Cricetulus griseus: one gene and its partner. The protein of the gene in region 1 purifies or fractionates together with the protein of each later gene. This does not show direct contact. Links are inferred from orthologs where the notes say so. Each region holds a gene or a part of one and is shown on either strand. Other genes may lie near its edges.

What was found.
Region 2: the proteins of Rnf25 (region 1) and Ube2e2 purify together in Homo sapiens (affinity purification with mass spectrometry; 3 studies listed by BioGRID and IntAct, counting the BioPlex papers as one, with this or other methods). This does not show direct contact. The link is inferred for Cricetulus griseus from reciprocal best matches to the Homo sapiens genes RNF25 and UBE2E2.

What each region holds. Positions count from the first base shown.
Region 1 is NC_048595.1:427,841,126-427,845,422, forward strand, and holds the start of Rnf25 (E3 ubiquitin-protein ligase RNF25), read right to left. Parts: upstream 2,978-4,297; 5' UTR 2,915-2,977; coding exon 2,874-2,914; intron 650-2,873; coding exon 575-649; intron 435-574; coding exon 221-434; intron 138-220; coding exon 70-137; intron 1-69. Other genes in the region: Stk36 (serine/threonine-protein kinase 36), read left to right, coding at 3,671-3,754. UniProt on the Homo sapiens protein: E3 ubiquitin-protein ligase that plays a key role in the RNF14-RNF25 translation quality control pathway, a pathway that takes place when a ribosome has stalled during translation, and which promotes ubiquitination and degradation of translation factors on stalled ribosomes.
Region 2 is NW_023276807.1:175,955,876-175,959,689, reverse strand, and holds part of Ube2e2 (ubiquitin-conjugating enzyme E2 E2), read left to right. Parts: intron 1-3,082; coding exon 3,083-3,266; intron 3,267-3,814.

The DNA of each region.
Region 1 (4,297 bases):
TTAAAACTTCCTTCCTTCAGCATGTAGAACTGAATTCTGAGTCTTCCTCTCCCAACTAGCCCAACTTACTTGTGGATCTGCTCATCTGAAAGCCCTCGGGGGTTACGGATGGAGATCTGTGGCACCTCATGGGGATACTAGTGCAGAAAAGCAACATATTAAAGTGACCCACTCGAGGGACTCTCCCCTTCTTCCCTTCACATTCATGCAGAGGCCTCACCTGTACTGGGACCTGAAGCACCAGAGTAAAACAGACAAACTGCGAATCTTGGACCTCTGCGGTGGCCGGGTGCAGAGTGATAAAAATCTCCCAGGGTGAAGATCTGCAGGTGGATGAAGTGAAGACGCAGGGTGTGACTGGGCAGGGGCTTGAAAGCTCGGGAGGAGTGGGGTGAGACAGTAAAGCAGGTAGAGGGATGCTCACTGGACTTGTTCTTTTCAGGGGGAGAATTAAGGGAATAGTGTTTATGACAAACATCACCTCCGAGTCAAGGCTCACAGTACCCTAAGCCCAGATTCTGTGCAGAATCATCTCACTACGAAGACTCCTGCCCACCCCCAATTGAATACGCACCTGCCATTTCCTTTCATCACCTGTAGTTCATCCAGATAGATAGACTCTAATACTTCAACTTCAGAGGGAAGGACCCTGGAGAGTAAGGGGGAGACTGAGTCACTAATACAGTTTTCCCTGCTGAAGCCTGCCAAGGCTGATGAAGACTCACTTAAAAAACAACAACAACAACAAAAACCTACCTCAATACATTATTTGGTATTTGGTAAATTATTTGGTAAAATAGGGAAATATTTCTTTAAATTGTCAATTGGCCAGGTAGAAAGAATGGGAATTAGAATTTTAGAGTTCACCTCTGCCAACCTGAGAAAACAGATTCCCAGAGAGATGAAACAACTGACCAAGGCTTAACACAGGAGGAGGAATAGGACCAGTCAGAGCCAGGCCCTGACTTCCTGCTCAAGTTTCTACAGCTGATTATCCTTTGGTGGCTCCTCCCTGACTATCTATCTATCTATCTATCTATCTATCTATCTATCTATCTATCTATCTATCTAAACTCATTACTAACTCATTACTAACAAGGTTACCAATACTACTCCTGCCTGCCTATACTACTGTTCAGCACAGTTCCCTGTACCCTGGGTGCTGCCAATAACCTTGCCAACACTAGTCAGTCTAAGCATCCTCAAAGGATATGCCAAGATGAACAGGTTTAGGTAATCTAAAAGCTATACTGCATTAGGAGAGCTATAGGCCTTGTAGCTGATAGTAGGCAGAAACTACTTACCAGCTATATGGTCAGGTCACTTATTTTTGGAAGCCTGAGTTACACTGTCTACCACTTAGAGATAATACAACATATTCACTAGGGCTACTGTGAGACTTAAAAATTGTTTATATACAGTGCCCAAGTGTATGAGACATAGTACCTAGTCTAAGTGATCTCACCCCACCCTCAAAAGAAAAAAGAGAAGGGCATAATCTAAGTACTGTGAATACACACATGACGCTGGATTTCTAGTTAACCCAAACATCATGTCGAGTACAGGGTTTGTGGTCCTGATATAAATCAGAAGGCACACATTTAAACATACAAACAACAATTGTAATGACACTGAAGATGAGTGATTGAGTCCACAGCCCTACCCAGGTGATATATAGAAGGAGCACACCCAGTAGGAACTTTATCAGTGGTGGTTATTATGACTATTTTTTAGCATTCTTAAGCCTTACACAGAAACCTTAAAATATAAAGCTTATTATTTCACAAATAAAAACGACATTCTGGATGACACAGACTACTGCAATCACGACTACGCTCTCATGACTCAGGTGTCCCTTCATAATCTTAAGCATTTTTCCTAATAGTAAAGAGCATTAGTCTACATAGCTTTAGAAAGGAAACTACTGGCTGGCCTCCCTGAACCAAAGCAACACTGAGGTACAGCCTCAGTTACGACATCTTCAGTATTTTGCACACGTTAGGTGACCTGGGTTGTGGACGTAAGATACAGACTGGGAGAGTGATAAGGTCTTAAGTCACTGAAGGGGGTGGGAGAGGGTACTAAGATTAGAAGGCCTTAACTTATAGAGATATCCTTTGGGTTATCTAGTCTCTTGAGGTCTTACACTTAAGCAATTAATGAAAAGCAGGCCTTTATGTATATTACAAATCCCAGTGATCCTCCCAACTACTCTATGAGGTAATGCCACGCCCACTATTTTTTTTTTTTTTTTTTACAGCTGACACGGGCTCTCAGGAGCTAGCTAGTCTGGTCAGCATCATATCCAGTTAATTAAATATGAAGTGAGATCATCTTTATCTTCAAAACCCAAAGTCCTTAAAGGCTTTTGGTCTCTTCTTAAGAATGCCCGAGAGAGTAGGAGGGCTTATGTGGGGAGTTAGGCTTTTCTGACAATAGTTATAAGTGCTGTCGGGGGAAATGAGAGGAACGCATAGGCAGAAATGGACTGGGCCAAAGGGTAGGATCCTAGGGGCACGAGGGACACGAGGAGGAGGAGGACGTCCGTTCCGAGAGGCGAGAGGGTGATGAGCAGCCATCCTACAGGCCCCAGAAAGTCACATCAGGGAGAAGTGGGAGGGATAGGGCCGTAGCAGGAGGCAATTAGGTCGATAAGGCGTGGGCCCAACTGGCCAGGCCGGCGCAGACCCAGTCAGTCCCTTCTCAGGTCAGCGTCCCTCCACCCTCGTCCGCCTAGGAAAGGATGCCAGGGTTTCTGTCACCGCTCGCCCCATGATCCACCCCTCATGCCCGCAGTTCGGACGATTTGAAGCTGTTGCTAGTTCCCAGCACCAGATCCAGACAGCCAGCCAAAACCTATGACCCAAAGTTACCAGTCCTCTTCCCCGGCAGCTGCCGACGCAGACGCCGCCATGTCTTCTCCGGCTCTTAGCCGGAACCGGAAATACCTTTGGGGAAGTTAGAGACTGAAAACTAGGGCGGGGCGGGGTAAAGAAAGCTGGCGCTGTTTCTAGGCAACTGAAGACTCTAGGTCCTTTGTGGGGCCTGCTAGCCAAGCGACAGAAGTGCCCTACAAAGTGCCAATGGGCCGTTTGTGTCTGTTACACATCTCTGAGAGCTTTGTCCTTTAAACTTCTGACCGGTTCCAGGGAATAAAACTCGTAAGAGTGGGAAACTAACGAGAACAGCAACGCAGGCAGCTGGGGGGGACCCGGTTAGAGGGCCGGACCGCCAGCCCTCGGCCTGGGAAGCCTGGAGCATCTAGGTTGGGGGGAAAGTTGGGGGGACTCGGCTCGCGCCAGGAGTCAAGAGCGGCGGTGCTGGGGCGAGCCGAAGGTGTTATTAACTTGGAAGCTATAGGAGGAGCATGTGAGCGTCGCTGGTGGAGAGGGGAAAAGGGACGCGGTGTGCTGTGAACACCTAGCCTGAATGGGTGACTCCAGACGTTCTGTTTCCAAGACCTGATCATCTTTCCATCCTGATCCTGTTTTTGAGGCCTGGTTTATTGTGAAAAGGAGAAAAGGCTTAGCTGATAATGTCTATTTTTCTCCCATGTTCCAAGCCAGGCTTCCCAGATGTGTGGAACTGTTCCTGCATCTATAGCTCGTTGCCGCCGTCTTCGTTGTTGCCGTCTTCTTTCTACCTTCTGAGAGACCCTGAAACCCTTGCCATGGAAAAGTACCACGTTTTGGAGATGATTGGAGAAGGCTCTTTTGGCAGAGTGTATAAGGGCCGAAAAAAATACAGTGCTCAGGTAGTGAACAAAGATAACTTTTGAGTGGGATTTGGTGCCCCTACACCAGCAGAAACTTGGACAGAAGAGTTGCATGGTGTGTATTTCTAGGCTCTGACTCCAGCATACTTCCTATGATGTGAGGACCCTGAAATTTGATTACTTGGAGTCAGATTCCAGCCTTAGAACTAGGGACAAACTACCCAACCATTCCATGCTTCAGTTTCCCAAAACTGTACAATGGGGGATGATTGATGGGGTCTGAGGATTAAAGGTGTTTCACAATCACTCATAGTATAATGCCTGTCACCTACTAAAGACAAAAAATGTCAGTGTTCTTTGTTTTGCCTAAGAATAGATAAACCTGTGAAATCTGTTCCTCCATCTTCACATTTCCTTCTCTTTTCCCTAAATCTCACCTCGAGTCCTTTGCTTAGGTCACAAAACCTCTCCCAGAATCCATCAAAGGGCTCTATTTGGCAGTAACCGTTTCCCCCTGGTGATGGGTTGACAAAGCCAGAGTAAATCCATTACACCCTGGGGAAAGTCAAGGAGGAGGAGGTT
Region 2 (3,814 bases), on another chromosome or scaffold:
GGTATTCTGTAGTAGTTTTAGAAATTTCAGTCTCAGATTATGGTATTTTACATCATTGAGTAGTCTATTCAGTAGTTATATAGTTGACATATTATTAGGTGTATGTAAATGTACTTAATACTGAACCGAGTGTGTGGTTTTATGACTAACTCAGTACATAGCCATGACTTGACATAGCAGTCATAGCAGTGGCTTCAGTGTAAGGTAACTATTTTTCTGTGGCTCTTGTGTTTGCCATGTGGTGTGATAGATTGCCTGAGGTTTAGGATACATAAAACAATTTTTCACTCTTTCACATCTCTTTACATTTTTTTTCCAGCAGCATTTTGCTCCTAGAACATCTAACCCTAAGAGTGCTTCTTTTTCTTTCCCTGTATATATGCTCTATCTAGCATCTATAGTGTACATACTTACAAGTTTTTTTTAACTTTTTGTAGATTTGAACTCAAAGAAGCAAGCTGAAAAAGAATACAAATATTAAACCCAATAATAATAAGCTTAAAGTCAAATAAAAATGGAAGAAAACCCAAGAAATATACTCAGACTTGTAGAGCTAGGTGTGAAACATACTGATATAAAATTTCAGTATTCTATTAAGTGACTTTATTGCTCATAAAATGTGTCATAGCTACGGAGAATGATGGTCTCCATTTACAGAAGGTAGGGGAGCAGTCTGGTTTCCTGTGAGTGTTTGAGAGCTGTTTGGACAAAGGAACTATTAGGGCTGGGGGTGGTGATGCTATATGTGGTGTCTTTTGATGCTTCATCTCTGTGCTTCCTGACTCTTCCAGTCCTTTGCTGTGTTTATTGTCTTATAAAAAAAAGTTTGTCCTATAAAACTTTCAGTCTGCTAAAGGCCTGTGTTAAGAAGCCACCATGTCTTTGAGCAAACTCTACGTTGAACTGAGGATGATGAATGTTGATTAGTTATTGGGTCATACCTTTGGACTAGGTAATGATAGTAATGCATTGTGTTTTAAGTGAGGCTTTTGTTTTTGTGTGCACCGAAGCATACTTTTGACCATATCAGGAACAGTTTTATTTCAAAGTCTTAATTTAAGAGTAACCGAAAAGAGTCTTTTTCAAGAGGAATTTAGATAAATCTCTCTCTCTCTCTCTCTCTCTCTCTCTCTCTCTCTCTCTCTCTCTCTCTCTCTCTCTCTCTCCCTCTCTCTCTCCCTCCTCTCTTCTCTTCTCTCTCTCTCTCTCTCCTCTCTCTCTCTCTCTCTCTCTCTCTCTCTCTGTGTGTGTGTGTGTGTGTGTGTGTGTGTGTTTTGATGATGATGGTAGTGGTGATGGTGATGACAATAGTCACAGGCAGTCTTGTTTTTTTTCAGAGACGTATATCTGAGCCTTAGCTACATGATACTCAGAATGGTTACTGGTGGCTTGAAGCCCTGTAGAATCTGGATATGGGTTTTGTCAGTTCAGTTCTGAGTCTGTCACTTTGCTGGGTCAGACAGGATGTGATAGTAAGGATCAAACTGGGGCTGATTATGATGGAATGAGATTGGAGAAGGGATATCCTCTTCACTCAGTGCATTTTTGTGTCTGCTATCTAGGTTATAACGGCTACCTAGGTATCAAGGTATTGAGGAAATTGAGTTGGTAATCGGAGCTGCTCCAGGAGCATGAACCCAGAGCAAAGTGAATTTCCAACCTCCAGGGCTATTTCCTCCAGACTGGGGAAAAAAATGAATCCATCAGTGTCTCAGTACAGTCTCTATCTCTTGTGAAACATGGTTGCTTAGTGGAGCTGGGTCAGTGCCCATACTCTCCTAAGCCTCAGTTCTTGTTTGGAATCACGTGGCCTCTGTTCCGTTATCACAAAGGTTACTTAAAACAATTTCCCAGCTTAGAGGATTTTAACCTTGGCTCAGCTCTGAGGATGTATCGATTGGATGTGAGCGTGGCAGTGCCCCTGTTTCTCAGCCCTGGGCCTTTTTGTGATGACTTGCCAGGACACTTTGCAGGTCTGTTTACCTGTCCAGACTTCTCATAACTGAGCCCAGAGTGCTTAGCCCAAAGCCTGAAAAAATTAGGCTCTCAATCCTTCTTTCTCTCTCATTTTAAAAGATTTATTTATTTTTATTTTCTGTGTATGATTGTTTTATTTGCATGTATGTCTGTGCACCACATATGTGTCTGGTGTCCAGCGAGGTCAGAGAGGGTGTCATCCCTTGGAGCTGGAGTTACAGCCCATTGTGAGCCACCTTGAGGGAGCTGGGAATGGAGCCCAGGTTCTGTGCAAGAGCAGCCAGTGTTCTTAACTGCTGAGCCAACTCTCAAGTCTCTTCTGGTTTGTCTTATGCCAGTTCTTTTGAGATGTAATTTACCTTATAAAGTTAGCCTCCTTCATTTTTTGTATATACTGGAGCTTGAACTCTGCTGAACTTGCACTCTGCCCAAACTATACCTCCACCATCTTAAAATGTGCAGCTTAGCCTGGGGATTGTCAGTAGCTCAGGAGTAGAGCACTTGCTTTACACAATGGGACACTGGTTACTGTCCTCAGAACTACAGAAACAAAGCATAGCCACGCTGAGGCTTTTCTGCTCTGACCTCCACTTAAGAGCATTATCACTCACAGGAAAGTTTCTGCTCAGTAAAAGTCACTTCCCTTTTCTCTGTCTCTATGTTCCCATGGATTTTACTGTCTAGATATTTCTTACAAATGAGCTTGTGCAGTCTGTGGTCCTTGTGGCTGTACTGGCTTCTCTCAGTTAGATTCAGGGTCTTCCTGCTGAAGCATGAAGATACCGGACTTCATTCCTTTTTGTGGCTTAGGTATATTGTCATGTGGATGAACCACGTGTTACCCACTAGGTGGAGAACATTTGAATTGTTTCCACTTTTTGTCTTGTGAATAAAAGTGCTACCAATATTTGTGTCTACATTTTACATAAATTCGTAGAAGAAAACCTTTGGCAACCCCCAGAGTTATTTGTTTTGTAATTAGGCAACTCCCATTTTTATACCTAATTTTACTTTTGTTTTGTAGTCTCATTTTCTCTCCATTCTTGATGTACCTTGTTGTAGTCCCTCCCACAGCAGACTAAATGATGTTTCATCTTTAATCCAGGATCTAAAATGTCCACTGAGGCACAGAGAGTTGACGACAGTCCAAGCACTAGTGGAGGAAGTTCCGATGGAGATCAACGGGAGAGTGTTCAGCAAGAACCTGAGCGAGAGCAAGTTCAGCCCAAGAAAAAGGAGGGGAAGCTATCCAGCAAGACAGCTGCCAAACTGTCAACCAGTGCCAAAAGGTAACCAGCTGCTGGCAGCTCTGGATTTGCTTTCAAGTTATCACCTTAAACTCATATTTTCCCTTGTATTTAGTCATTTTTCCGGGATGAAGGTTATAGAGTTTACAGGTTCCCCCCCTTAATATAATTTTTAAAATGTGTTTTTAATTGTGAAAAACTCTTAAAAGCCAATTCAGAGTCATGACATATTATAAAATCTGTACTTGTAGTGCATTGATATATTTCTATCTTGTTAGAAAAACATGAGCAGGACATTATAAAAGTATAATTTGATTTATGGTTATTTGATCATGAATATACTTTTCTATTCAGTAACACAGAATAGACACTGAGAATCTCTTGACTAGGTCTGGGAGTGGGGAGATGGCTCAGTGGGCAAAGTGCTTGCTGCTGAGTCTGGATTAACATCATCCATATAAAAACTGGGCATTATGGCACATATCTGTAACCACAGTGCTGTGAGTAGGGGGTGGGAGAGTGGAGTGTGTGTGTGTGTGTGTGTGTGTGTGTGTGTGTGTGTGTGTGTGTGTGTTGGACACAGGTGGATC